Linked DNA regions of Canis lupus familiaris. The protein of the gene in region 1 interacts with the protein of each later gene in a pairwise test. Links are inferred from orthologs where the notes say so. Each region holds a gene or a part of one and is shown in the gene's direction. Other genes may lie near its edges.

Region 1 (3,965 bases):
CAGTGTCTCACACAAAAATATGAACACGGCACGCTTCCAACGTGTTAGTTTGAGGGGATGTATGGAGGGTGCAGAATGCAATCAGGTGGGACAGGGAAGCTGCGGTGCTAAAGACCGTATTTTCCTACCCAGCGGAAGACCAGTGACGGAGGCATTTGCAGCCTTAACTCCACTCCAGAATTATATTATCTTTTAAACAAGGTGCTTTGTTAAAAAAAAAAAAAAAAATTTTTTTTAAGGGCACCTGGGTGGCTCAGTGTTTGACCTCCTGCCTTTGGCTCAGGTCAGGATCCTGGGGTCCTGGGATAGAGCCCCGCATGGGGCTCCCTGCAGGGAACCTGCTTCTCCCTCCGCCTCTGTCTCTGCCCACCCCTCATGAATAAATAAAATCTTTTTTAAAAAATGAAATAAAGGGCAGCCCGGGTGGCTCAGCGGTTTGGCGCCTGCCTTCGGCCCAGGGTGTGCTCCTCGAGTGCCAGGATTGAGTCCCGCGTCGGGCTCCCTGCGTGGAGCCTGCTTCTCCCTCTGCCTGTGTCACTGCCTCTCTTTCTGTGTCTCTCACGAATAAATAAAATCTTTTTTAAGAAATGAAATAAAAACTGGAAAATGTGAAAAAGGAAATGCGCCACCAAAGAGAGCAGTGTCCGGAGCGTCAGGCCAGCGCCTCTGCAACCGCCCCACCCCGCCCCCAGCCCCAACCCCGGGAGCGCGCGGAGCGGGCGGGAGTCCGGGCCGCCGTTGCCATGGCTACGCTCGGGGGCGGGGCGCGGAGGAAGCGGCTCCGCAGCCGGCCCCGCCCCGCACTGCGGCAGTAACGCCTCCGCGGGCTGCGGTGGGACCCCGGCGGCCCCGCTGCGCCACACCGCCGCAGCCCGCCGCAGCCTGCGCGCCGCCGCCGCCTGTGGCCCCGCTTCCCCGTCCTTCGGCGCCTCCGCCGCCCGTGTGCTCGGTCCTCAGCCGCCCTCACCGCCCGGAGCCATCCCTGCGTCTGCAAAGAAGCCGCTGGCGGGCTGGCGTGGCAGCCACCGCCGCGACCTCAGAACAGGCTCTGCCTCCGGGGACCGCACAGCCCTCGTCTGCAGAGCAGCCGCTCCTCGGCCGACTGGAGGCCGGGCTCCGGCCGCGGACGCCGGGATCGCCTCCGAGGGGAGCCCCGAGTGCCGGCGCCCGGCTGCCGGGAGGAGGCGGCCACGCCCCGCGACCACACCCGGGCGCCTCCGGCCCCGCGGCGCAGCCCTCGCCAGCCGCGCTCGCTGCCCGCCTCCTGCGCTGCGACGGGACGCGACCCCCGGCTGCAGGTGGGGGACCCGGGCCGCGGGCCCCGACTGAGGACGCCGGTGGCGGCGGACGCGTGAGGCGACTGCCCGAGCCTCCCGGGGCTTGGCTCCGGGGACCAGCCGGCGGACTGCCTTTGGGGGCCGCGAAGGAAGAGGGCAGGACTCTGGTGTCGTTTGTTAATTGTGATTGCGTCAAGCTTGCCTCCCTCGCGCCTACGGGGGTGGGGGGGTGTCTGCTGCCGCGCTGAGCCCTAGAGCGCAGGGAGCCACAGCCTAATCCGTCTTTGTAGAATCGGGGCCCTCGCTAGTTGGGGAAATGGCGATGACGCTGTTGGAAGACTGGTGCCGGGGGATGGATGTGAACTCCCAGAGAGCCCTGCTGGTCTGGGGGATCCCAGTGAACTGTGATGAGGCTGAAATCGAGGAGACCCTCCAGGCTGCGATGCCCCAGGTGCCCTATCGAGTGCTTGGGAGGATGTTTTGGAGGGAAGAGAATGCGAAAGCAGCCTTGTTAGAGCTCACTGGCGCTGTCGATTACGCCGCGATCCCCAGGGAGATGCCGGGTAAAGGAGGTGTCTGGAAAGTGGTCTTTAAACCCCCGACTTCCGATGCTGAATTTTTAGAAAGGTTGCACCTCTTCCTAGCGAGAGAGGGGTGGACCGTGCAAGATGTTGCCCGCGTCCTTGGGTTTCAGAACCCCACTCCGGCCCCGGGTCCAGATATGCCAGCAGAGATGCTAAACTATATTTTAGATAACGTTATTCAGCCTCTTGTTGAGTCCATATGGTACAAGAAGTTGACGCTGTTCTCGGGGAGGGACATCCCGGGGCCTGGGGAGGAGACCTTTGATCCCTGGCTGGAACACACTAATGAGGTCATAGAGGAGTGGCAGGTGTCTGATGTAGAAAAGAGGCGGCGGTTGATGGAGAGTCTTCGGGGCCCCGCCGCTGATGTCATCCGCATCCTCAAGACGAACAACCCTGCGATAACCACTGCCGAATGCCTGAAGGCGCTTGAGCAGGTGTTTGGGAGCGTCGAGAGCTCTAGGGATGCGCAGGTCAGATTTCTGAACACTTACCAGAACCCGGGAGAAAAGTTATCTGCGTATGTCATTCGTCTGGAGCCTCTTCTGCAGAAGGTGGTGGAGAAGGGGGCCATAGATAAAGATAACGTGAACCAGGCCCGCCTGGAGCAGGTCATTGCCGGGGCCAACCACAGCGGGGCCATCCGGAGGCAGCTGTGGCTGACCGGGGCCGCGGAAGGGCCTGCCCCTAACCTCTTCCAGTTGCTGGTGCAGATCCGCGAGGAGGAGGCCAAGGAGGAGGAGGAGGAGGCGGAGGCCGCCCTCCTGCAGTTAGGCTTGGAGGGGCACTTCTGAGGCCCAGGAAACGGCGACAGTGCACATCTAGATCGCAGCCGCTTACCTTGTCTCCGTGCTCTTACAGATGTGTCCCTAGTGGTAAAGACTTCCGCCATGTGCTGTTTTGGGGGTGGGGGTAGGGAGTCAGGCCTGAGTATTCATGTAACATTAGTACAATCGCGCAAATGAGCACCCTGAGCTGCTACAAGTGAGTCGTACTCGCTGCAATGCCAGGTAAAGACTTGTACACAAGTGCTCAGTGCCAGCTGTCATTGTGGCAATCATCCGTTGTAAAAACCATGTGAATCCCTGACACTTCTCATTGAGATAATTGTGAAATTGCATGTTCAGATGTTTTAGCGTGGGGCCTGGCAAACACAGGAAGTGTTCGGTAAAAATATGAGCCGTTGTTACTAATATTGTGAATAGTTTTTGTGTTTACAGTAAATTGTTCCTAAGTTTTTTCCCTAATTTATATTAATGGAAAGAAATGTGACTCATACTATTTATTCAGCCTTACAAAGCAAATTGTTTTATTTTTCATCTCGAAACATCTGGATCACTTTAATTGAAAAGTATTCTGAGACTATGGAATGGGATGTTAGAAAAATACTGCAATTCTAGAATTGTGTGAATCAATTTTTCTGTGTACAAGACACAGGGAGTGTCTTGTTGCATGGGGAGATTAATAAGAACCAGTTACAGTATCTATTCCCCCATTTCAAATCCTTGTCATTGAATGGTAGTTCTTGTTCATGCTGATTCTAAGTGTTCTAAATTTGAAGTTGTCAAAATACATGTATATGAATAAAAGTATTTAAAAAATTCTATTGTCTTTTTTTTCTGACACATATATAAAATTTCAGTGTAATTAAGCTCTATATTTATTCTCTTAGGAAGATTTCCTGGTGTCACTTAAAAAAAATATAACTTCAGTTACTGTATCTTTAACCTTATAGCATACTATTTGAGTTTGAATTACAGAACCTTTCAATGTATTCAATTTTTGCATGTTTTCTACAAGGCAAATATTAGAAGGCTGAACAGACCTAAGTCAATATTAACTTACTATAAAAAGTTAGGAAATCCTGAAATGGGGCTCAGGATGTTATCTAGTAATGCTTTTTCTCCCCTTTCAAATCCCTTTTCAGGGATCCCTGGGTGGCGCAGCGGTTTGGCGCCTGCCTTTGGCCCAGGGCGGGATCCTGGAGACCCGGGATCGAATCCCACGTCGGGCTCCTGGTGCATGGAGCCTGCTTCTCCCTCTGCCTGTGTCTCTGCCTCTCTCTATCTCTCTCTCTGTGACTATCATAAAAAAAATAAAAACC
Region 2 (4,224 bases), on another chromosome or scaffold:
AACCAAGCCAACGCTGCTGAGGTCAAAGAGGCTGAAAGGCTTGCTGACCACAGCCTCTGTCTGGATGAAGTTCCTCAGCATCTCCATGGATGTGGTCTGCACATAGCCATAGTCCTGGGGGCAGAGGAAGGACAGCCTTTGGGTGGTGAGTGGAGGAAAAAGGTGAAAGTGAATGGACTTAGTTTTCCCACCCCAGCCCACATTTGCAGGGCACTGGGCACTTGGGGGAGACCCCTGGCCCTCACCAGCACTTCATCCAGGAGTTCGTAGACAAGAGCCACGTTTCGGGAGATGGTCCCCTCACTCAAGGAGCCACAGTAGTCGCCCAGGAGAGTGGCCAACCTGAGAAAACAGGGCTGTGTGTGCATACCCTTCTACGGTCGTATCCCCGCGCCCAGGTGCCCAGCCCTGCCCTCCTCACCGGGAGAGCAGCTCTAGAAGGCTGAAGGGAGAAATGTTTTCTGAAGTCGTGGCTACCAAATAGAGGCCGCTGTGTCTGATGTGAATGAAATGACGGTCATCGTGGTGCTGAGGCGGAGGCGAGGAAGAGAGCGTTAGGAAGACATGTGATTAAGGACCCGCGAGACTTGCTAGCGGTGGGCCTTGGGGCGAGCCAGGCACCTCGCCCCCGCCCCGGGACCCAGCTGCCTAATGTGGAAGTGGAAGTGGCCCTGGTACCTACCCCGGACTGGCGGAGCTGCGCCCCGTAGAGTGTTAGCGCTCCAGAAACTGTCGCTCGGATTACTTGGCAGAACGTACCCCCCGCCCCGCCCGCGCCCCCCAGCGGCAGCTCTCAGGGAAACGGTCCTGGGAGGAAGGAGGCGCCCCCCAGCCCTCCGGGAGCCTACCCCAAGCCCCGCCGCAGGTTACCATGACAACCGGGGACTCATCTCCGGGCAGTCCCGTCAGCTTCCGGTAGAAGAGCTCGGCCACATCCCGACCGCCACTGTCCCCGCGGACTGACCGGGTGGAAGGACAGCTAAGGAGTCGGCGACACGGGCGGGCTCTAGGGCACTACTCCCACCCAGGCCTCCCGCCCCGCAGGTCAAGGATACAATCCTTGTAGATGAGCGGGTCCCCTTTGGAAGACAGAATGAAGAACTGGGAGATCATGGTGGTTGGAGAGTCCGCAAGGAGACAGCGAAACTTGGGCCTGCCCCGCCCTGCGGCCCCGGAACAAAAGGACGCGCGTAGGCTGGTCCTTTAAGAGCAATTTCTCTCGGTCCGAGCCAGCTCGGACCGCGGGAAACCCGGCGCCCGCCCCGCCCGCCCCGCCCCGCCCCGCCTCGCCTCTCCGCAGCTCGGGTGCCCGCGCCGCTGCCCCGTCACTCAGTCCAGACTCGCCTGGTGATTGGCCGAAGCTATGGCCTGCGGGAGAGTGGGAGGGGCGAAGGGCCTCCTCTTTGATAGGCCCGCACGCGGCGGCGCCCGTCACGTGGGGGGCGACGTTTCGCGCCAATTTCGGTTGGTCGGCAGGAGCCCGCCGCGCGGACGCTTTCTGCTGTCCTGGGAGTGAGCGCCTTGAGCCCGCCAGCTGCTGCCGCACGGGCGATGGCAGTTAAAGACTACGTGCTCGAGAAAGGTGAGGATATGCAAACTTGGGAGGAGCGGCCTGCGCGGGAAGCCTGCGGTCCAACACCTGTTGGCGTGAGCCGGCGTCCTGGGGCCCCGGGGCGCGCGGCCAGAGGCAGGGTCGAGAGGCTGCAGGGCAGAGGCAGACGGTGCGTGGGAGGCGCGCGGGCCGCGGAAGTCGAAGAGCCAGTCATGCCTGGGGAAGGAGTGGCGGGTCGCGGTGGGCGGGGGAGGGTCGCGCCCAGGAGAGACCGGGACCTCAGGAGACCCAAAGGGCTTTCCGCCCCCAAGGACAAGGACCCCGGGTCCCCCCTCCCTGCGCACCCTTAGACATTCGGAGCGCCCGCGCCCTCTCGAGACGCGCCGGAGTCCCGGGGGCGGGCGGGCCCCGGCCGCTGAGTGCCGGGATTGGCCATTTTAGGCCAACCTCTAAGCGGAAGTGAAGGCGGGCGGAAGTTGCGCGACGTCGCTGGAGGGAGTGTCGTCTGTAAACAGTGTCCTTCCGCGCCGCGGCCTCGGAAAGAGCTGCTCAGGGTGGGGGCGTGCCTGAAACTGGGGGGCTTCGCGGGAGGCCGAGAAAGGAGGTGGTCGGGTGGGACGGAGTGGCCCTTGACGAGCCGGCCAATCGCCGGACGGGCTCCCGCCCTGGGCGGAGGAATCCCGGGCTGTGAGGCGGCTGCATCTGGGCCCATGTGCTTCTTTGTTTACTAAGAGCGGAAGCAGTGGCGGGAGAGGGGGTGGGGTGCAGGCTGGGCCTAGTGGAGAGACTGAGGAGACCGAAGAAAAAGAGGAATCTCAACGCGTGGAAGAAAAACTGAGAACCTTGAGCTCAGAGCGTGTGGCGGGGTGTGAAAGGCCTTTGGGAACGAGTACTGAGATTTGTAACCAGGGGAGACACTGGGATTCCCTGGGGGAAGGTTGTTGGGTAAAGCTCCTGACTGCCCGGGGCCCCTTCTCTAGGTGAGAATAGACCTGTTAGAAGGAGTTCTGCTCTACTTGGTAAGAATTACGAAGTAAAAGCGAGTTTTTTAAAGAAGCGTATCAAGGGGTTTTGTGGTAAAGTATCTGAAAGACTCATTCTCATGATTTACGTTTTCCTTGCAGAAAAGGTTAAGAAATTCCTACAAGAGTTTTATCAGGATGATGAATTTGGCAAGAAGCAGTTCAAGTACGGGAACCAGTTGGTGAGTCATAGAAAAAGTGGAGGGAATGGGTGGTTGCTTAAGGAGCTGTAAGAGGTGGCCTGGCTTGCTTCAGTAAGTGTACATGTAGGTAACAGCTTCAGTGTGATTCTTAATATTTAGTAAGTGGAAGTCATTCTGTGTGGGTAATGAGCAGTGTGCTCTTTAGAAGTTAGAGGGCTGTCTTTGGGGGGCTGAGAAGTGAGTATTGCTTTGTCTCATGCTTCTTTCTACCCTTGTGGGTGGGGGACACTGCTGACCATGGTGTACACAGCTCTGTCTCGTCCTTACCCCAGGTTCAACTGGCTCATCGGGAACAAGTGGCAATGTACATAGACCTAGATGATGTAGCTGAGGATGACCCTGAGTTGGTGGACTCCATCTGTGAGAATGCCAGACGCTACACCAGGCTCTTTGCTGATGCTGTACAAGAGCTGCTGCCTCAGTACAAGGAGAGGGAGGTGAGTGGTTGCAGGACAACACAGGGCAACACAGGTTGCTTTCCAGAAGCTTCTCAGATGCTGGTTTTTCAGAGTTGGCAGAAAGGGGGCAGTAATTTCTGCCTGGTTCCCTTTGTGGTCTTTCGTTCTCTAGTCCTGCCACACGTTTTTTCTTCTATCTTTCTTTTCTCTTGAGGTGGTAAACAAAGATGTTCTGGATGTTTACATTGAACATCGGCTGATGATGGAACAGCGGAGCCGCGACCCTGGGGCAGCCCGAAGCCCGCAGAACCAGTACCCTCCCGAACTCATGCGCAGATTGTGAGTGGTCTCAGCGAGGAAGGCTGTGGAAGCTTGTGCAAGCTTGTGCTTCAGAACCTTTGTAATGACTCTTTTCTCTCCCTTAGTGAGCTCTACTTTCAAGGCCCAAGCAGTAACAAGCCTCGTGTGATCCGGGAAGTACGGGCTGACTCTGTGGGGAAATTGGTCACCGTACGTGGAATTGTCACTCGTGTCTCCGAAGTCAAACCCAGGATGGTGGTGGCCACTTACACTTGTGACCAGTGTGGAGCAGAGACCTACCAGCCGGTATGTAGGGAGCAAGGAATAGGAACATATTTAATTGTTAGTGGTTTGCCCCAGAATTACTTTTAACTCCTGGTAGTTATCTGTTGTTTGCTGTGTTCGTTATGAAACACAACTGTGTGTTTACTTATCATTGTTTTTCTGGTCCGTAGTGGTCTTTCCATCGTCCTTTATGGGTTTTTGGTTCCTATGCTTATTGACTCAGGACAGGTCAAAACGTTGGCAGTGTGCGATGTGTGCTATGGGGAAGAGGAAATGTTGACTCAGGTGACGGACTCATGGCTTTTTGCTTTTTCTTGCATTCTAGATCCAGTCTCCTACTTTCATGCCTCTGATCATGTGCCCCAGCCAGGAGTGCCAGACCAATCGCTCAGGAGGGCGGCTGTATCTGCAGACACGTGGTTCCAAATTCATCAAATTCCAAGAGATGAAGATGCAGGAACATG
Region 3 (4,042 bases), on another chromosome or scaffold:
CAAGGAAAGTGGAGGCACCCCTGGCGTTTGATCTAGTGATCCTTTCTTCACTGTAGGCAGGCATCGATGGGGAGAAAGAGCATGCCAATGCTAAGAAGATCCTGCTGGAGATGGGGGAGTTCTTTCAGATTCAGGTAGGAGGGCACTGGTGGGGAGCAGGCCACTGCCAGCCTAGTGCCCTGCGTGGAGTGTCTTCATTGGTCCTCCTCTGCCCTCTGCCCAGGATGATTTCCTGGATCTCTTTGGGGACCCCAGTGTGACGGGCAAGATTGGCACAGACATTCAGGACAACAAGTGCAGCTGGCTGGTGGTTCAGTGTCTGCAGCAGGCATCTCCAGAGCAGCGCAAAGTCCTTCAGGTGCTTGGGAGGCCATGGATCCTGGAGCTCCCAGGAAAGGGGGCATATAAGGATTCTCAAAGGGGCTTGGCAGCATCAGCAGACATTTTTTTGTCATAACTTGGTGGGCGTGTGCACGGGCTGCAGGTATCTCTAGCGGGTAGAGGCCAGGAAAGCCGCCAGACATCCTCCAATGCACAGCAGAGCTTCCCCACAATTAGCCAGCCCCAGCCTCGGCCTCGGCCTCGGCAGTGCTGGTGTAGAGGAAACTGGCCTGAACTAGTGCAGCAGGAGAGGGAGGTTCAAAGACCCGGGAAATCGGGAAATGGGAGGCTGGAATAGATAGAGGAGGGGCGTGCCAGATGCCCTGATAGCAGGAGAAGGCTAAGCCAGTTTCCCTGCCTCCAACCCCTTCCAGGAGAATTATGGGCAGAAGGAGGCGGAGAAGGTGGCCCGAGTGAAGGCGCTGTACGAGGAGCTGAACCTGCCGGCTGTTTTCACGCAGTATGAGGAAGACAGCTATAGCCGCCTCATGAGCCTCATTGAGCGGTGCGCCTCACCCCTGCCCCCAGCCATCTTTCTGGGGCTGGCGCACAACATCTACAAGAGGAAAAAGTGACCTAGAGACGGCGAGGGTGGGGCGGGGCGGCTCTCAATAAATTGTCCAATCTTCTCGTGCGTCTGTGCCTGCTTGTAATGGTCTGGGGCACAGCTGTGTCCCCAGTAGGCAGGGTTTGGGGAGAGTGGTGCCGGCCTGCGCCGCAGCTCAGTTGGGAGAAGTCAGGGTTAGTAGGGGTGGCCGGGACCAGGGTCTTGCCTTCAGGACCCTTGGGACCTAGAGCTTAAGACTAAAGCTGCGCGGAGCCTGGATGGGTGACACAGGCGAGACGTCAAGCGCTGGGGGCGGGGTCTGAGCCCCGCCCCGCCCCTGCGTGAAGGGGCGCGGCTGCGCAGCGCCGGCGGGTCGTCCTGGCGCCCCCCATCCAGTCGGTGCGGTCCGACTGGGACCTTGGGAGTCGTGGAGGAGCCGGGCTGCAGCGGTCGCTGGAGGACCCGGGTAAGGTCAGGGGGGACGCATCCGGGCACGCTGGGTGGGGCAGGAGGGGGGGCGCAGGAAAATTGCATAGAGGAGGAGTGGGGTGGCGTCTGGGGGACAGAGCCGAGCGCGGAGAGAATGGGTGAGCGCGGCGTCGGAGCAGAGATCTGCTGGCCCACCTGCTCCGCGGACCTGCGCGCCGCCAGCTGCCGGGTGCTCGCCCCCACGCTCGCCCGCTACTCTCCTGCATTAGCAAGCTGGCCGCGCCTCCCCCACCCGATTTCGGAGCATCTGGGCGGGGCCTCCCGCAGCCCCTTCCCCTGGGAGCGAAGGGCAGGCTGGGGAAGCGGGGGTGCGGTGCAGGGCCAGACTGCAGCAGAGACGATCCGAGGCTCTATCCTGGGCTCCATCCTTTTTCAAGCCCCCGCACCTCCACAGAGATCCAGAGCGCAGCCGCATTTCTTGACCCTCCCCGCCCCAGTCCCGGGGGGCTCCTTTGGGCTCCACCTGCAAATACTGCAGTGGAAACTACCGGTCAGTCGACGGACATTGGCGTCTTATTTAAATACTGTCCAAAGCAGCCGGTGCCTTTCATGACCGCTGCAGCTGCCCGTCATCGCCGCGCCCCGCGTCCTCTCTGGCTGGGTATCACTCTCCCTGTCTTCCAGGTCTGCCTCTGCGGTTGCCAGGTAGGCGGTGTGAGAGGCCCGAGCCTCCCGACTCTCCAGAGGCCACCTCATCGCTGCCGGCACAATGCTGTCCCCTCAGAGGGCTTTGCTCTGCAACCTCAACCACATCCACCTCCAGCATGTGTCCCTGGGCCTGCACTTGTCCCGCCGTCCTGAGCTACGGGAGGGGTCCTTGAGCACATCCCCTCCCCCCGGAGACACAGGGGGCAAGGAGAGCCGCGGCCCCTGCAGCGGGGCCCTGGTGGACGCCAATTCCAACAGCCCAGCTGTGCCCTGCCGATGCTGCCAGGAGCACGGGCCCAGCTTGGAGAATCGACAGGACCCAGTGCAGGAGGAGGAGGGGGCTGCCTCTCCCTCGGACCCGGGCTGCTCCTCCTCGCTCAGCTCCTGCTCAGATCTTAGTCCAGATGAGTCCCCCATCTCAGTGTACTCGCAGGGCCTCCCAGGTGAGGAAGATGTCCACCCTCAGCCCAGCATCATCCCCCTGGAGCAGGGCTCCCCGCTGGCCTCCGCAGGCCCTGGCGCCTGCTCTCCGGACAGCTTCTGTTGCTCGCCCGATTCCTGCTCCGGAGCGTCCTCCCCACGGAGCCCCGGTCTGGACTCCAACCGCAACACCCTGACCACCTGCCAGGAGCCCCCTTCCCCGGGGCTAGAGGAGGAGGAGGAGGGAGGGGAGCAGGATCTCCTTGCCTCCGAGCTCCCGGAGCCCGACGCTGGGAAAACCGAACCCAGCTGGAAAATCAACCCCATTTGGAAAATTGACACGGAGCTCCCCGATGTCGGCTGGAAAGCCACGGGGATCATTGACTCTGGCTGCACCATCCGCGGGAACAGCAGCTCTAGCTGGACAACGGAACCTGCAAAACTCGACTCCGGCTGCAAAAGCAACCCAGTTATCACCGAAGCCAGCCCAAAAACAGATGCGGGGTGGAGTGACGTCAGCGGGGAGCCGGCGTCGCACCGGACAATCACGTCCTTCCATGAGCTGGCCCAGAAGCGCAAGCGGGGCCCGGGGCTGCCCCCCGTGCCGCAGGTCAAGAAGGACCGCAGCGACTGGCTCATCGTATTCTCGCCCGACAGCGAGCTGCCCCCCAGCGGCTCCCTGGGAGGCTCCCCGGCGCCGCCCCGGGAGGTCACCACCTTCAAGGAGCTCCGCTCCCGGAGCCGGGCCACGCCCCCGCCGGTGCCGCCCCGGGATCCCCCGGTCGGCTGGGCCTTGGTGCCGCCCCGGCCCCCGCCCCCGCCCGTCCCACCGCGGAGGAGGAAGAACCGGCCCGGGCTGCAGCCCATCACCGAGCGGCCGCCCGAGGAGGGCAGGGCGGGCAGCCCCGTGGCTGGCCAGGAGGCCGCCGCCGCCCGGGAGCCCGAGGAGCCGGGCGCGCAGGCCAGCCGCGCGGGTAAGCCGCCGCAGGGAGCCGCGGGGTCGGGGGGCGGGTAGGTGAGGGGCTGCGGCCTCGCTCCCTACCCCCCGCCTCCGGCCCGCCCCGCGCCCCCGGTCTGGGCCACCCGCCCCCTTCCCGCCCCCCTCGCCCCGCCTCCCGCCCCGCCAACGGCGAGCGCTCCGGGAGGGGGACCTGGGGGGCCGCGGGGCTATGGCACTAACTCTCTGCTCCCTCTTTCTCCGCCCGTCCCGCCTGGCTGCCGCCTCGCTCCCCCCGCCCCCCCCGCTGCAGCCGGCCCCCCCCCGCCGCGCCCGCCCTCCGCCCCCCGGTCCGCGGCCGCCCCGCGCCCCCTGCTGGAGGGCGCGGGCACGGCGGGGACTCCGCTCCCGGCGCGTCCCGCCGGCCCTCCCCGCGCGGGGCTGCGGCTACTGGGCGCGCCGAGGCCTCCGCAGGAGCGGCTGCTGCCGGTCCGCCAGTCCCCGGTGGGCGCGCACTCGCCCCCGGCTCGGGGGGCCCTGCCCTGCCTGGCCAGCCCCGAGCTGGCCCTGCTGCTCTCCCCGCTCTTTCCCAGAAGCAGCACCTTCCCCGCCGCGGCCCC
Region 4 (4,039 bases), on another chromosome or scaffold:
TCCTCATCCATAAAATAAGTATTAAAGTACCTCAGAGGGGACACCTGGCTGGCTCAGTGGTTGAGCGTCTGCCTTCAGCTTAGGGTGTGATCCAGGATGGAGTCCCACATTGGGGCCCCTTAAGGAGCCTGCTTCTCCTTCTGCCTAAGTCTCTGTCTCTCTCATGAATAAATAAATAAAAAATAAATCTAAAAAAATAAGTACTTCAGAGTTGTGACTATAAGGGTACCTGATATGGGGCACCTGGTGAAGCGTCTGCCTTGGTTCGCTTCACAACCCCAGGGTCCTGGGATCCAGTCCCATCTCTCCCGCTAAGGCGGGGGTGGGGGTGGGGGTGGAGTCTGCTGCTCCCTCTCTCCCTACCCAGGCCTTGCTTGCGCACGCGCTCTCTCTCTTTCTCTCTTAAAATCTTAAGAGTATCTGCTATGGAGCCGGGCACCAGCTCTTACTAAGATGCCTGTAGGAATTTGTGGAATACAACGTTACCATAACCCTACTCTGGAACATCCACCTAACCTTTCAGTTTTCTAGGAAAGGAGCTTTTCGGCTGGCAGTCAGCAGCTCTTCAGCAGCGTCAAGGCGGAGCCCTCAGGCGCTGGGCCTCAGGCCGCAGGGAAAGGGTGCACAGGTGGAGTAGAGGGGCGGGGGCGCCGACACACTGACTCCAGGCTGCCATCCTAGTCACCGGGGCTGGGCACCACTTCCAGACTTCGTCGTGCCGTTGGCAGAAAGTCACTAGTTACCATGATTATCCGAAAGGAAACACTCTTAGGACAAGGACCCCGGCACCCGAGGGTTCCAGGCCACCCTCCCTCCGCTAAGCCCCAGGCTGGACCCCAGGCCCGACCGCTGCACTTGCAAGGGCGAAGCCCTGCGGTCAAGACACGGACAGATGGACCAGGGTCCCCGGTCCCCAGATGGTCGGGGTCTGGATCCCCGGTGGAGGCTGAGGCCGTGGGGTCGGAGTCCGAGTCCGGGATGGAGACTGAGGCTGGGGTCCGGGTTGAGTCCGGGGTTTGGATCCCGGGTGGTGGCTGAGGCCGGGGTCCCGGACCCCGGTGGCGGTCGGGGTCTGAACGCCGGCTCTCTGGGCTCGTTTCCTCGGGCTCTCCCGCTCCGCCCCGTGACCCTGCGACCTGGCTGCACCTCGCAGGCTGCTAGGAAACACGGGCGGAGCGCGGCAGCGGGTGGACGGCGGGCAACCGGCTTGGGCAGCCCCGACTGCGCAGGCGCCTTTCGCGCGGCCTCCACTGCGCAGGCGCCGCTTCCGGGCCAACATGGCGGCCGCTCTCCTGCTGCTGCGAGCTCTTCGCCCGGGCCCTGCTGTGGGGTCTGGGCGACTGCGGGGCCCCTGCTCTGGCTGGACCCTAGGCCTCTCCCCCGGGGCGGGAAGGAGGTGCCTCCACTTCGTCCACAGGCCTCCGACCCGACTCGTGGGGACCAGAGACCACGCCGAGCAGGTAACCGCCGACCTGGGGTCGGGGACCGCCCATTCCTGCCCCACACGCTGCTGGGCCCTCCCGCAGCCTCACCCCTCATCCCCTCACCACCCCCATCTCCTCACGTCCCCCCCATCCCCTCACCTCTCCCATGCCCTCACCCACGCATCCCCTCACCCCTCCACTCCCTTACCCCTCACCCCCATCCCCTCAGCCCCTCACCCACGCATCCCCTCACCCCTTCATTCCCTCATCCCTTCATTCCCTTACCTCTTATCCCCTCACCCCCATCCCCTCAGCCCCTCAGCCACGCATCCCCTCACCCTCATTCTCTCACCTCTCAGCCCCCATCCCCTCACCCCCCTCCCCTCACCCTTTCATTCCCTCATGCCTTCCTTATCCCTTCATTCCCTTACCCCTCATCCCCTCACCCACGCATCCCCCTCACCCCTCATTCTCTCACCCCTCAGCCCCCCATCCCCTCACCCCCATCTCCTCACCCCTTCATTCCCTTACCCCTCATCCCCTCACCCCATCCCCTCACCCAGGCATCCTCTCACCCCTCACCCCCCATCCCCTCACCCCCTATCCCCTCACCCCTTCATTTCCTTACCCCTCGTCCCCTCACGCTCGCATCCCCTCACCCTTCATTCTCTCACCCCTCAGCTCCTCACCCCCAGCCAGCACCTAGCCGCGGGTCCCCCCATTCCCCCCACCCCAGGGCAGCCCTGGAAGAGACCCCGCACAGGCCCCAGCCTGCATCTTTCCAGCCCTTTTCTCGTGTATTGATTTTTTTCTGCCCATTTGCTTACTTTCCTAGCGTCTTCAAACTGAATCCAGGGATGCCTGGCCCAATCAGTGGAGCAAGCGGCTAGATCCTCGGGTTATGAGTTCGAGCCCCATCCACGTGGGCTGTAGAGATTACTTAAAAATAAAGTTTTAAAAAATGTTTAAAAACCGAATCCAGTAAGAGTTTGACCGAGAACTATTTGACCATTGGCTCACATACAGACGTTGTGAGGATGATGGTACCTAGCCATCGCTCAAGTGGGAGGACAGTTTTGTATGAGCAGATCTCCCTCAGCTGTCTTAGGTTTGTCTCCTAGCGGAGGGCGTTATGGACCTGGATTAATTGAGCACTCTTTTTTTTTTTTTTTAAAGATATATTTATTATGATAGAGAGAGGCAGAGACACAGGAGGAGGGAGAAGCAGGCTCCATGTCGGGAGCCCGACTCGGGACTCGATCCCGGGACTCCAGGATGGCTCCCTGGGCCAAAGGCAGGCGCCAAACCGCTGAGCCACCCAGGGATCCCCCTAATTGAGCACCCTTAAGTGAGGGCTGTGCTTCAGGATCTGCTCAAGTGACCTCTACCTAGAAACAAGGATCCCAAGCTCTAGTGCCATCTTGGCTGCTTTTTCTTCCAGTCCTTTCTTAGGAGCTTAACATACTTGAGGTCATAATTTATTATTGTTCTTTTTTACCGTAACTTGAAGACCCGTTTGTATTATAGTTCTATTGTAGATCACTGGTTGTTCCTCCCGAGCCTGAACCTGAGGGACGTATAGATGTATTACACTTTTTTCCTTTCTACTTTTAGTTCTATTGAAAAGGAAAATCATAATTAATATTGTCTTTAGTCTGACCCCATGCTTATTCTATGAAAGGAAAGGCTGAAGTAGGAAATTCACATATTGTGGAATCTCCGCAGGCTCCCTCACCAGTGGCTGTAACAGAAGTAAACTTAAGTAACCTGGGTTAAACAAACTGTTTGGATCTGACTTTAGAGAATGACAATTTTTAAATTTTTATATCTTTCAAATTCATGATACTCGTTTATTAGGCCCAGTCTACATTCTGTGTCTACTCCTTATAGGACTCCTGAACTCAGTCATCACTGAGCCAGGTGTAGTAGTTTTAATTAAGTGGGACAATAACTATAGATGAGGAATGTTCTTCCTGTTGCTAACAGGAAATTACATGGAATGTGCTTGCTACCCAAAAACATTGAGCAGGATATTACTTTATTTTTAATATTTTGTTTATTAGAGTGAGAGCGAGCACAAGCGGGGAGCATAGGGAGAAACCTCCCCACTGAGCAGGGAACCTGATGTGGGGCTCCATCCCAGGACCCCAGGATCCTGATCTGAGCTGAAGGCAGACACTTTACCGAATGAGCCACTCAGGCACCCCGGGGTATTACTTTCCTTGATAGCAGGGCAGAGATGAGCTAAGGAAAAAATTAAAAACAAAGAAATAAAACAAATGAAGAAAGTGCCAACAAAGAGATAAAAAAATTAAATTGGATCATTGACCTTGGCATAAAACACAAGTGGGAAAATGCTCATCTTGAAAGCAGAACTTCAGAAAGACAGACTAGTAACCCCCTATAGTTCCTGAAAATGTTCTGCAAGGAGCATTGTCTGGAGAGGTCAGGTGTAAGGGCTCTGGGCCCTCCCTTCCACTTAGCCCTTCCAGGGAGCTGTGATCCTCAGGGCACAGAATGGCAGTCTGCACTCCCTGCCTTTCCTTCTATGTTTCTTTGACTGGCTTCCTTGCATCACTTTTGTTTTGATGTTGAAAGTTTGAAATAATGCTTAG
Region 5 (4,234 bases), on another chromosome or scaffold:
TGGAAATGACCCCAGATTACGGCAGGTAGAAGGGGGTGTTAAATGAGACTTCTCTTGACTCAGGGTTTTGCCCAGGGCCCCAAAGTTGAGCATAGGGCTGAGTGTCCTCTGGTTCTAAAGAGACACAGTGTACCATCCGTACAGGCTAGGTGGAGAGCCCGAAACTACTTCTGCGTCCTGTGGTTCCTCACCCCCCTTCAGCTCGTGTATAGGAGAAGGCAAGAGTGGGAGAGGGCTGTTAGAATTCTAGAAGTTTATCTTATTACTAGATGGTTAAAAAAGCCAGCCTAATCTAATATGGAAACTTCAATCAGTCATCCAATTCAAAGCTCTGGCTCCCTCTCAGTTCAGGTGTGACCTGTAACTCTGTGGAAGAGCAAAGGGAACGTTATGTGGATTAAGTTCTTCACTCTCCTATTGCACACTTTCTGCACTATTTTCTGGTTTCTCCAGGGTAAGGGCAGCAGGAGGAAGGGATGGTAATACAGGTCTGTTTAGAGTCAAATGTCCACCTTTGTCTTCACATGACCTTCACTCAACTCCAGTGTCTTGTCTTCTCTTACAAGGATTGTCTCTCGTTGGATTTGGGGCCCAACCCAGTGATCCAGGATGGTCTCATCTTCAGATCCTTAATTATATTTACAAAGCCCCCCCCCCCCCATTTTTTCCCAAGTAAAGTTGTCTGGATAGGTTTGGGGGAGGCAGATTTAGGAAGTGGCTGTATCTATCTTGGGGGCCGGGGCACCATTCAACCCACAACACTCATCAAATTGTTTCATTGAACCTGAAAGTGACCGGGAAAGCTGCGCGGTTTGCTCAAGCTCCAGCCCTGGAGCAGCCAAGGGGCAGGAGAGCCAACAGAGCAGCGGTGAGAAAAAATGAGTTTCTTGTTATACCCTATGGAGCGTCCCTGCTCGACCAATTAGATTCATTGGTGTCTCACTTAGTTGTGATAGAAACCATCGTGCGGCAGTAATAGCCGTTTGAAACTAAAGCCCCGAGTTTTACCGTCGCTTTGATTTTATCGGACCGTTGCAGGGAGAGGATGTGTCCGGATGAGCGGTGCCACGGCCACCTGGTGAATGTTCAGTACTTCCTTACCAAGGGACGCGGGCTAGGGCTGCAATACATACTTGTTAATTAATTACTGCATGAAATCAATCGCATCCGGCCACCGTTTTGTCAACCTTTCAGCTGAGCACTGCCTTGACTGAAAGCACAAAGCGTACGCCGTGGAGTTAGTTCAACACACTTCGCAGCTGAAAAACGCTCCTGGGGGCAGCTGCCTTCAACTCAGGAGGCCCCGGGGCCACGTCGCCCGCCACGCCCGGGGCCGCCCCACAGCGAGCGGCGGCGCGGGCTTGACGGCCGCCGGTCCCTCTGCGCAGACGCCACGTACCCAGCACGCATGCGCCCGGCCTGCGGTCTCCAGCCGCCGGCCTCGGATTGGTGGAGCCTCGGTGGCCCCGCCCCGCGTGCCGGAAGCTCTGTCCCGGCGCCGACGTCTCCGGAGATTCCCGGGCGTGTGCGCTTCTCGGTGAGCGACGCTCTAGGTTGTCGCGTGTGTGTGCCCGGCGGCGCTCGGGGACGCGCACCCCTGTTCGGGGACGCTCACCGCTGCTCCGGGAGGGCGCGGGGGGCCGCGGTGCGTCCCGGGGCGGGCGGGCCCTGTAGCGCCCTCGCGCCTCTTCTCGGGCTGACGTCGCTGGGGTGGGCGGATCCCCGGGGGCCGCCGCCGCCTCCGAGCTGGCGGCCCGCGCCCCTCTCCCGAACCCGAGCCCCCGCGGGCCCTTGCGCTGCTCCCTTCCGCCCTCTGCACCTGTGCCGGGGGGCGTCCTAACACGAAGGGACACTAGCGCAGTGTTGCGTGGCTGTTCGGAAACCGCGGCGCCCCGACCCAGCGTTTGGCATCGGTTCTCTCCCTGGGGGAAGGGGCTCCCCTGTGTAGCTGCAGAGCTGTGCGTGGGTTATGACTAGAAACAAAATTTCTCTTTGATCGCTCGTGTCCCCCGGGGATTAAGCCAGATGTGTGCAGATGTGTGCAGCGTGCCCATATTAGTTAATATTAACAAGCTTTTCTATGCATTCAGTCCACAGATATGTAGGGCCTGCACCTGCCCGCCCGGCATAGACTCATTTTCATGTATATTCAGAAGCTGGGGCAATAGGTGTGCACGTAAGCGTTATCTGTATTAGCATATGCTCTAGAACTGTGTTGTCCCATAGGTAACCACGAGCTACATGGAGCACTTGAAATGTTCCTGGTCCTAATTGAGATGCGTCAGAGTGTCAAACAGCGAATTTGGGGGAAATAAGTATGAAAAAGAGAATGTAAAATATCAACAATTTGTTTTTATTAATTACATGTTGAAGTGGCAGTATTTTGGATACACTGGTTAGGTAACATGCTGTAACCTTCACTTGTTTATTTTTTTAACGTGGGTACTAGAAAATTTTAAATTTTATCTGTGGCTTGCATTGTATTTCTGTTGGATAGCACTGCTTTAAAAGGGCTCAGCAAACTGTGGCCTACAGCCAAATCCAGCCTACCTGTCTTTGAAAAACATTGGAGCAAAGCCATACTCATTCTTTTATGTGTCGTCTATGGCTGCTGTTCCTGCTACCAGAGCAGCAGACTTGAGTAGTCCATACAGAGACTGGATGGCCTGCACAGCTTACAGTATTTACTATCTGGCCTTTTCCAGAAGAAGTTCGCCAACAAACAACAAAGTTCTGTACAACAGTGCCTGCCATGGAGATCCATGTCACGTGAATCTTTTAATTATAGTCCTGTGTAATTGTCATGTAGGCTTACTGTGTGACAGGCATGGCTCTAAGGACTTTATAAGGACTATCTCATTTATTTCCCATATTAAGCCTAAGATGCGGAATTTCCCCAGTTTTGTAGATGAAGAAACTGAGGCACAGAATCATCAAGAAACTTACGGAACATGCTCAACGCCCCTCGGCTTCTGTGAACTCTAGCTTCTTGACCCTTCTTATCCCCACAAGCTTGATCTCTGCAGTCCACTCAACCCACAGTGGGCACCATGGTGCTGCTGCTGCTACTGCTGCTACTCCTTTTTGTTTTGTCTTTTACATAACTTTTCGAACTAGAATTGAGATGAGGTTGGCTCATGTGGAAGAAGCTGAGGGGCAGTGAGCTTAGGTGCAGTGGGTACGAGCAAGCTGGTCTGTAGTGGAAAGAATGAAGTGTACAGGGGCGCCTGGGTGGCTCAGTCAGTTAGGCATCTGCCTTTGGCTCAGGTCATGCTCTTGAGGTCCTGGGATCCAGCCACGCGTCAGGCTCCCTGCTCAGGGGTGTGTCTGCTTCTCCCTCTGCCTCTGCCCCTCCCCTCTGGTTGTGCTCCACCCCAAATAAATAAAAAATCTTGAAAAAAAAAAAAGAATGGGGCGTACAAGCAGAGAGGAGAGGAAGCATTCTGGATCCTCTTTTCTCATTTAATAAGAATTTGTTGAGTAATAGTAAGAACTGGCCAGGTGTCTGCTGGGCGTGTCTCCGTGAATGAAACAGACATCATTCTCTTATGGTCTTGTGGGGAAAGCAGACAATAAAAAACATTTTAGGGACGCCTGGGTGGCTCAGTGGTTGAGTGTCTGCCTTCGGCTCAGGGCATGATCCTGGGGTCCTGGGATCGAGTCCTGCATCGGTCTCCACGCAGGGAGCCTGCTTCTCCCTCTGCCTGTGTCTCTGGGTCGCTCTCTGTGTGTCTCTTGTGATTAAGGAGAATCTTTAAAAAAATAATTTTAATGTAGTCTGCACAGTGAAAAGCCATCACAAATATTTGATTTTTTTAAAGACGTTTTTAAATTTAAAAAAATTTTTATGATTTTTTTTTTTAACAGGCTTCCTCATCTGGAAGATGGAGATAAGCCACATACCTGACTTGGGGTCATCGCAAGGATGGAGATGACATAAATGTGTGTGGCACGTACAGTTCAATAAATGTACATTGCCTTCTGCTGTTAAGAGGTAAGGGAGGGAATAAGTCCGGGGAACTGGGTGCATCGTGACGCTTAAGACATTGCAACCACCAGTTATAATTGTAGAGAAGAGTCTCAGGTGAGCTGTGCACAGGAGGTGTTTTTAATATTTCCTAATGGGGCTCAGTCAGCAAAATCCAAAAGCAGGGAAGTTCTATACATTCACTGGAGGAGCAGGTCAGGAGCTGTCTTTGGGCTGATGGCAGTGTAACTGAGTCGGTCCTGTAGC
Region 6 (4,121 bases), on another chromosome or scaffold:
TTGTAAAATAAAAGTGTAAATAAAGGCTGGGCAGTGTGGGGGCACTCAGAGATAAATCATATCTAGCTGGGCTCTCTTCAAGGTGCTTTACCTGAATTAACTCATTTCCTGGGAGGTTAGTACTATTGCTAGCCCCGTTTTGCTAGTGAGTAAACCAAAGCACAGGAAACTTAATTATTTTGCCCAATGTTTTACAACTAGTGAATCAGGAGCCAGCTTGATTCCAGACCCTGGCTAAGGCTAATGAGATAGAGCATTATAAAGAACTTGAGAAACTTCAGAGGCAGGAATAATCACATTTAATTAGTGGAAGTCCAAAAAAATCATAATAAAAATATGACAGTTTACAGTGTGGTTTAGCACAGATTATCTCCTTTTACTAGATGAGGCAATGTAGAGTCATGGTACATGGCACAAGGTCTAGAATCCGGTAATACCAATATTGGTTTCCCAGCCTTGTCAACACAGGGTAGTTGTTTTTGACCTCCTTTTTGTGCGTCAGCATTCTCGTTTGTCAAAAAGGTAAAATAAAAGAATTTACCTCATGCCATTGTGAGGACTAAATGAGATAATAATGCCCTTAAAGCACTCGGCACCATGCCTGGATATAGCAAGTGCTCAAAAAAAAAAAAAAAAAAAAAGGCATAATAAGATGCTGGCTTATTTTTATAAGTCTCACAACAGCTCTGTGAAGGTTTTGTCTTCGTTGTACAGTTAATAGCACATGCTTACTAGATGCCGGGCATTGTCCTAACACACTGCTAACTCAATCTTCACAACAGTCCCTAGAGCTATGTCTACATATTATAATCTTTGTACAGGGGAGGAAAGTGAACATAAGTAATTTGAACAAGTTCACAGCCAGCAAGAGGAACAACCGGGTACTTACTTCCCGGGTCTATACTCTTAATCATAGTGCCTTTCAACAACAGGTGACGAAACAGGCTGGGAAAGTTAGAGATGCTCACGCCCGAGAAGGAGCTCTAAATTCCCTTCAAACCCCAGGATTATAATCACATCCAGCAGATGGCCCCCCAGAGCATAGCAACGTGCGAGATTTGCGTAAGCGGTCAAAACTACCATGCCCACAATGCTGTGCGAACATTAAGGGCCTCCTCCTCCTCCAGTTTAGCTGTCCGAGGTACTGCCTATGTGCTCTGCAGGAGGAATGCATGTATCTGAACCATTCAGGCCTTCCCTTATCTTCAGATCGTGAGGTAAAAGTTTTTTTTATCCTTCATATTACTCTCTTTGGCGTACTAGTTGGAGAATAGAAAGGCCGAAACAACGCTGCTTTTTGTTGGCGTCATATGACCAAACCTAACGTGAGGACCCTTGACCTCTGACTCAGGATGGCGGCGCCCGTGGCCGTCGCTTTTGCTGTAATCCTGAGCTGAACTGAGGCCGCAACCCCGCGTCATGTCGAAGCTGAACCGAGCCGCTCGGGCCCTCAGGAAGCCCGAGGCCGGCGGCGTGATCCGGACCATCGTGCGGGCAGGCCAGGCCATGACCGGGCCTCCTCTAGGTCCCATCCTGGGTCAGGTGGTCCCGCGGCTGGAACCCGGAGCGGGAGGCGTGGTGGGGGTGGGACCTAGTACTGGGACCCGGAGCGGGTGGAGGGTGCGGGCTCGGCTTGGTAAGGTAAGGTCAAAGCGCGGCTTTGCTGCCCACACGCTTTTGGTCTTTGCGTTCATTCCGTGGCCTGTTCGAGGCTAAGCTTCCTCCGTCCTTGGTCAGCGGCCCCTTGGGAGGATAGAGGGACGATGCATACAGATCCTCTGGCGCGTAAAGTGTTAGTTGAATCTGGGTTAATAAGAGGAGGATGGGACCTTTAAGAGATGAAGACGAAGGAGGAAAGGGATAGAATCTCCCGTATGGTAGGAAGCCGCCCCCTTGTCCCCACACTAATGTCCGTGCTTCCCACCCAGAGAGGTGTTTCCATCAACCAGTTCTGCAAGGAGTTCAACGAGAAGACAAAGGACATCAAAGAAGGCATTCCTTTGCCCACCAAGATTTTTGTGAAGGTGCACAGTCGGGACTTTGATCCTGTTTGGCTTTTAAGTTTTTATTTTTATTCCAGTTAGCCGGTATACAGTGTTATATTAACTTTGAGTGTATGATATAGTGATTCACCGGTTCCATGCAACACGCGGTGCTCATTGCACTCCTTAATCCCCGTCACCTAATGATCCTATTTGTTTTTCTTCCCCTTGGTTACTGGGGTTGCTACTCTGCTTTTAATTTTGGGTGAGGCTCTTCCTATCACCGAGTCCCACTTTCCCCATTTACACAGTGGAGACTAGACCATATCTTTTCTGAGCCTTTCCTGCCATATTGCATTTCCTCCCTTTGCCTGTCCATCTCACTCGGGCTTCTACAGCAGAGCTGAGCCTGGACTAGAGGTGACAAAGCTGTTAGCTGCAGATTTATTTTCCCCGTGTTTTCATGATCTGTTAAATGGACGCCAGTGGAAGATGAGTCAAGGGAAGGGGGAACAGAAGTTAAAAGTTCTCTGGGCTGGGGCAGCAGGGCCTAGAGGAGATAAGAGAGATATTCTCCTGTATTTTCTTCCCCATGAAGCCTGATAGGACATTTGAAATCAAGATCGGACAACCCACTGTTTCCTACTTCCTGAAAGCAGCTGCTGGGATTGAGAAGGGGGCCCGGCAAACAGGTAAGGGTCAGGGTGGGTACCCGGGATTTTGGGGGCTCTGGAAGGAAGCCGAGATACCTCAAGGTCTACTTGTTTCTTCCTCCCAGGGAAGGAGGTGGCTGGCCTGGTGACCTTGAAGCATGTGTATGAGATCGCCCAAGTTAAAGCTCAGGATGAGGCCTTCGCCCTGCAGGATGTGCCCCTGTCCTCTGTGGTTCGCTCCATCATTGGCTCTGCCCGTTCCCTGGGCATTCGTGTGGTGAAGGAGTGAGTGTCTTGGGAAGGTGCAATGTGAGGGGAGGGCTTGGAAAGTTCTTGACTCTGGAGCAAAGCCAGGAGGGCCCATTACAGTGGGAGGACCAGCTTCTGAGTCAAGGACCTTAGATTCTTGGGAGTGGGCAGCCTTATTCATCCATTTGGAATATGAATATTAAGTACCTGTTATGTGTCAGACATTTTTCTGGACGTTAGATACAGCGAGGAAGAAATCACTGGGTGGCTCAGTGGTTTAGCATCTGCCTTTGGCCCAGGGCGTGATCCTGGAGTCCCGGTATCAAGTCCCACATCAGGCTCCCTGCATGGAACCTGCTTCTCCCTCTGCCTGTGTCTCTGCCTCTCTCTCTCTCTCTCTCTCTCTCTCTTTGTCTTTCATGAATAAATAAATAAAATCTTAAAAAAAAAAAGATACAGCGAGGAACAATGAGATAGCCATGCTTGGCCCCACTCCTAGGGAGTTCACAGTTGAGAGCTGGAGGCAGATGTGTAAGTGGAGCATTAGGCTGCTAGATGGTCATTGTTGACAAAAGGAACTGCAGGTTCTTGAGGAAAGAGTAGAGCTCCTAATTTTGCCTGGTGTGTCAATGAGGACTTCACAGAGGAGGTGACATCTGCACAGACTTGGAAAAGGAGGTCAAGGACTGGGACAAGCATTCCAAGAAGTGGGAAGATCCCTGTGAAGGACAGGAGGTGAAAAAGTGAAGCAAATAAATGCAGTGTGCTCTGGCGTATGGTGCTAGAAGCAGAGTGGGGAATAGGAAGAGAGGTGAGACAAATGGACCAGTTGGGAAGGCTGAAGGCTGTTTCCATCTATCTGAAGTTCATATTTGATCCTGAGGCCAACAGGAAGCCCCCTCCTAGGGTTTGGGATGACCTCAGGAATTATTTCTCTGAAGTGAGATGTTGGATGGGAGAGCATACATCATCTGAGGGCTCAGACAACAGCAAGGGCGGGGCTTGGCCCTTTATGGGCCTCTTGCTGCTGATGTTACATCTCATGCTGAGGCTAACATTTGTTTCCTAAGAGAAGTGGGATTAAACGTGGTACAAGGATAGACCTGACTTTCTCAAATCTTCACTTTGACTAGAAGTACAGAAGTGAGTCGATCTGACCCTTGCTTGGGGGGAGGCACATGTGTATAGCCTGACGACTTCTTTGTACAAAGTGTTTGGGGGCACAGAGGAAGGGGCA
Region 7 (2,753 bases), on another chromosome or scaffold:
ACCTGCGGGCCAACCTGAAGTCCGTGAAGAAGGAGGACACAGAGAAGGTGAGGACTCCTCTCCGCAACCTTTCGGCCCCTGTCCCCTCAGCTTCCCCTGTTACTCTGTCACATGGCCTCGGGCAGGAGCTCCCGCTGGCGGCCAGGCGGCCAGGCGGCCTGGCAGCCTGTTAGAACATTCTGGAGCTCTCTGGGAGGCCAGTGATGAAGTCTTGTGATTCTATTTTGGGAGAAAGAAGACTCGCTCCCCTCCCTCGGGCTGCTCGCCATCCGAGGAGGAAAGCAGAGGAAGCCCGAGTGAGCAACAAGGTAGAAAGCGTAGCCAGTGCAAAGAGGATGCGGAGTTAGAGTGACGGGGCGATCAGGGTGACCCCCGTCTGTCCCCACGGGTGGGGGGGGGGAAGATGGCACATCATGGGGGTCACAGGACACTGAGCACAGAAAGTAGAGAACCGAGTTCAGTCGCTGATTCAGCAACAAATCCCTGGAACGGATGGGCTGCGGCCGCGTGCTCGAGAGGGTTGGGCTCCAGAGGGCCCGCGCTGAGGCCGTGCGTGTGAAGACAACCCAAGGCTGCGAGTCCGCTGGCCAAAGGAGAGCCGGCCAGGTCGGGAGGAGGCAGGCTGCTCAGAAGAGGTGGCCCTGAGCCGGCCTCGGGCCCGAGCAGGCGGTGGCGTGGGTCTGGAGGCCGGGGCGCCCAGCTGACACGCTCCCTCTTCCCGTGCAGCCTCGGCCTCCCCGAGTCCACCCGATGCGTCCTTGGGCCCCACCCGTGGGCAGGCGTGTCGGGATTTCCTCTTTTCCAAGAGGCTGACTTTGCATCAGCAAATTTCTCTTGTGATGGGGGGGCCCAGCTGCCCTCTGGTCTCTGACGTGTGTTGGGGGGCCCGCCCGTAGGAACGCCCCGTGGAGGTGGGGGACTGGAGGAAGAACGTGGAGGCCATGTCCGGGATGGAGGGCCGGAAGAAGATGTTCGACGCCGCCAAGTCTCCGACCTCGCAGTAGAGGTAGCTAGAGACCAGCTCCCTTCTTGGGGGGCCCACCAGAATCCAACAGCTCACGGGGGCTCCGGGACGATGGGCCCAGCGGGGGGGCACTGAGGCGGCCCGCCCTGGCTCCAGCACCCCGACACCTTGGGCACGTGGTTCCAATTTTAGTATATGTGCTGCCGAAGCGAGCACGGGCACGTGGTTCCTGCTTCGGGGCGCTCCCGGCTCCCTGTCCGCAGCACTGGGGGTCCAGCAGGGAGAGTTCTCCAAGGGCGTCCCCGTCCGGCCTATCGGTTCCACCTGCAAATGCTCTGGCTTCGCCCTGGAGCGATTTGATCTGGACTGTGGGGTGGGGCCTGCCCCCGGGGTCCCTCCTGCAGGACCTTGGGAGCCGGGGTTGGACGAGCCCTAAGGGAATTTGAAGCTTTTAAAAATACCTCCTGGCAAAGGACCCCAAACTCGGAGTCCCCGGGCCCGGTGGGTGGGGGGGGGGGGTGGTGTCCGTTCAGAGAAGACGAGACCACCCCCTCTCTGAGGAAACTGCTGGAGAAAGCAGCAAGTGTAGGGCGCAGAAAAGCCCCACTGTCGCTCCGGGGGAGGTGTGAGCGGGTGACGGGGAGAGGGCCGAGGGCTGGCACCGCAGGCTTTCCGGAGCTTTCCTCTGAGGAAGCGATGGGCAGGGGCTAGCAGACGCAGGGCAAGGGCGCTGCAAGGCCGAGGGCACAGGGGGCGCATTAGCGGGGAGCAGGGGCAGGGCTTCAGAAAGGGGAGCCGAGGGAGCCCGGGCCTGGCTGAGAAGCTGGGGTTTCCTAGGAGCCCCCTGGCTGGCAGCTCTGTGTCCTACCGGTAAAGCTGTAACCCGGCGTCTGCCTCTGTCCCACAGGCCGCCCTGCCGCCCCGTGCTCTGGGCTTCCGCGTCTCGCTCCTCCCTGCAGCCCGGCTCACCTGCCTCTCTGCACCCCACCCTGCCCCTCCGGAGCACCCCCTCCTGCCCTCGCCTCTCCCCTCCAGCCTGAGCGCCCTCCTCTGGGACTGGGACTGAACAGACACCCGAGAGGACCAACCCCCGTGTCTGAAGACCTCGCCCTAGCGGGGTGTAGACGCCTGCCGGCTGCGGTGGAGCCAGGCTGAGGGGGAAGGGGTGTGAGAGCGTCTTCCCTCTGGCCCCAAGCTGCATCCCTCCACTGCTTCTCTGACCTGCAGAGTGCCCCCCACTCCGGGCATCCCAGCTTCTCCATTAAAAACCAGGCTCCTGGTCACCTCTGTCCCTCCGTGCCGGTCATGTCTGCACCATGTGAGTGCTCAGAAGGGAGGGGATCCGGAGGGACGGGTGCGCCGCCTCCAGGCAGGAGCTCAGGGTCCGAAGGAGGTCTAGGGAACTGGCAGCTGCCTGCCAAGGTCCCCCGGGCCCCTGCCGCCCAGTCCCAGTGACATCACCCCGTCACCACCCAGAATGCTCAGACGACCCCAGGCCTAACCTCTGGAACAGCCCAGCCCTCCCAGCGACCCCAGCCATCAAGGTGGGCCTCTCTACGCAGAGCCCCTTGTCTCGCCTGCTGTCACAGTCCCCTTTCTCTGACAACCTGGACCACCGCTCCCTGGCAGCTGCTGGATGTTCCTGACTGTTCTAGACGTCCCTTCCGCCCCTCACCTGGTCCTCTGCTTCCCTGGCCCGGCCCCAGGGACACCTTGTGCTTGTGTGTCTGGCCACCAGGTGGCTCCTTTCCCCATCGCCGCCCCTGGGCTCACCCGTCCTGACCCCTGC

Evidence for each region.
Region 2: the proteins of PNMA1 (region 1) and MCM7 interact in binary tests that used the Homo sapiens proteins (3 or more experiments, as listed by UniProt). The two-hybrid records come from large-scale screens. The link is inferred for Canis lupus familiaris from reciprocal best matches to the Homo sapiens genes PNMA1 and MCM7.
Region 3: the proteins of PNMA1 (region 1) and RUSC1 interact in binary tests that used the Homo sapiens proteins (3 or more experiments, as listed by UniProt). The two-hybrid records come from large-scale screens. The link is inferred for Canis lupus familiaris from reciprocal best matches to the Homo sapiens genes PNMA1 and RUSC1.
Region 4: the proteins of PNMA1 (region 1) and SPG7 interact in binary tests that used the Homo sapiens proteins (3 or more experiments, as listed by UniProt). The two-hybrid records come from large-scale screens. The link is inferred for Canis lupus familiaris from reciprocal best matches to the Homo sapiens genes PNMA1 and SPG7.
Region 5: the proteins of PNMA1 (region 1) and TCEANC interact in binary tests that used the Homo sapiens proteins (3 or more experiments, as listed by UniProt). The two-hybrid records come from large-scale screens. The link is inferred for Canis lupus familiaris from reciprocal best matches to the Homo sapiens genes PNMA1 and TCEANC.
Region 6: the proteins of PNMA1 (region 1) and MRPL11 interact in binary tests that used the Homo sapiens proteins (3 or more experiments, as listed by UniProt). The two-hybrid records come from large-scale screens. The link is inferred for Canis lupus familiaris from reciprocal best matches to the Homo sapiens genes PNMA1 and MRPL11.
Region 7: the proteins of PNMA1 (region 1) and TNNI1 interact in binary tests that used the Homo sapiens proteins (3 or more experiments, as listed by UniProt). The two-hybrid records come from large-scale screens. The link is inferred for Canis lupus familiaris from reciprocal best matches to the Homo sapiens genes PNMA1 and TNNI1.

Annotation. Positions count from the first base shown.
Region 1 is NC_049229.1:47,276,435-47,280,399, reverse strand, and holds PNMA1 (paraneoplastic antigen Ma1), read left to right. Parts: upstream 1-1,339; 5' UTR 1,340-1,593; coding exon 1,594-2,655; 3' UTR 2,656-3,465; downstream 3,466-3,965.
Region 2 is NC_049227.1:9,437,341-9,441,564, forward strand, and holds the start of MCM7 (DNA replication licensing factor MCM7), read left to right. Parts: upstream 1-1,424; 5' UTR 1,425-1,551; coding exon 1,552-1,582; intron 1,583-2,026; exon of another isoform or gene 2,027-2,106; intron 2,107-2,394; exon of another isoform or gene 2,395-2,418; intron 2,419-2,428; exon of another isoform or gene 2,429-2,571; intron 2,572-2,676; coding exon 2,677-2,756; intron 2,757-3,049; coding exon 3,050-3,214; intron 3,215-3,389; coding exon 3,390-3,514; intron 3,515-3,600; coding exon 3,601-3,781; intron 3,782-4,085; coding exon 4,086-4,223; intron 4,224-4,224. Other genes in the region: AP4M1 (AP-4 complex subunit mu-1), read right to left, coding at 4-114, 246-342, 422-528, 871-959, 1,056-1,113. UniProt on the Homo sapiens protein: Acts as a component of the MCM2-7 complex (MCM complex) which is the replicative helicase essential for 'once per cell cycle' DNA replication initiation and elongation in eukaryotic cells.
Region 3 is NC_049228.1:42,224,805-42,228,846, reverse strand, and holds the start of RUSC1 (RUN and SH3 domain-containing protein 1), read left to right. Parts: upstream 1-1,242; 5' UTR 1,243-1,394; intron 1,395-2,041; 5' UTR 2,042-2,126; coding exon 2,127-3,445; coding exon of another isoform or gene 3,446-3,459; intron 3,460-3,727; coding exon 3,728-4,042. Other genes in the region: FDPS (farnesyl pyrophosphate synthase), read left to right, coding at 57-134, 224-358, 756-956. UniProt on the Homo sapiens protein: Associates with the adapter-like complex 4 (AP-4) and may therefore play a role in vesicular trafficking of proteins at the trans-Golgi network. Signaling adapter which plays a role in neuronal differentiation.
Region 4 is NC_049226.1:64,512,039-64,516,077, reverse strand, and holds the start of SPG7 (paraplegin), read left to right. Parts: upstream 1-1,239; 5' UTR 1,240-1,277; coding exon 1,278-1,460; intron 1,461-4,039. UniProt on the Homo sapiens protein: Catalytic component of the m-AAA protease, a protease that plays a key role in proteostasis of inner mitochondrial membrane proteins, and which is essential for axonal and neuron development.
Region 5 is NC_049260.1:10,112,905-10,117,138, forward strand, and holds the start of TCEANC (transcription elongation factor A N-terminal and central domain-containing protein), read left to right. Parts: upstream 1-1,434; 5' UTR 1,435-1,537; intron 1,538-3,866; exon of another isoform or gene 3,867-3,867; 5' UTR 3,868-3,994; intron 3,995-4,234.
Region 6 is NC_049239.1:51,392,305-51,396,425, forward strand, and holds the start of MRPL11 (39S ribosomal protein L11, mitochondrial), read left to right. Parts: upstream 1-1,321; 5' UTR 1,322-1,419; coding exon 1,420-1,542; intron 1,543-1,928; coding exon 1,929-2,024; intron 2,025-2,580; coding exon 2,581-2,674; intron 2,675-2,760; coding exon 2,761-2,920; intron 2,921-4,121.
Region 7 is NC_049228.1:1,607,608-1,610,360, forward strand, and holds the end of TNNI1 (troponin I, slow skeletal muscle), read left to right. Parts: coding exon 1-47; intron 48-896; coding exon 897-1,004; 3' UTR 1,005-1,006; intron 1,007-1,871; 3' UTR 1,872-2,253; downstream 2,254-2,753. UniProt on the Homo sapiens protein: Troponin I is the inhibitory subunit of troponin, the thin filament regulatory complex which confers calcium-sensitivity to striated muscle actomyosin ATPase activity.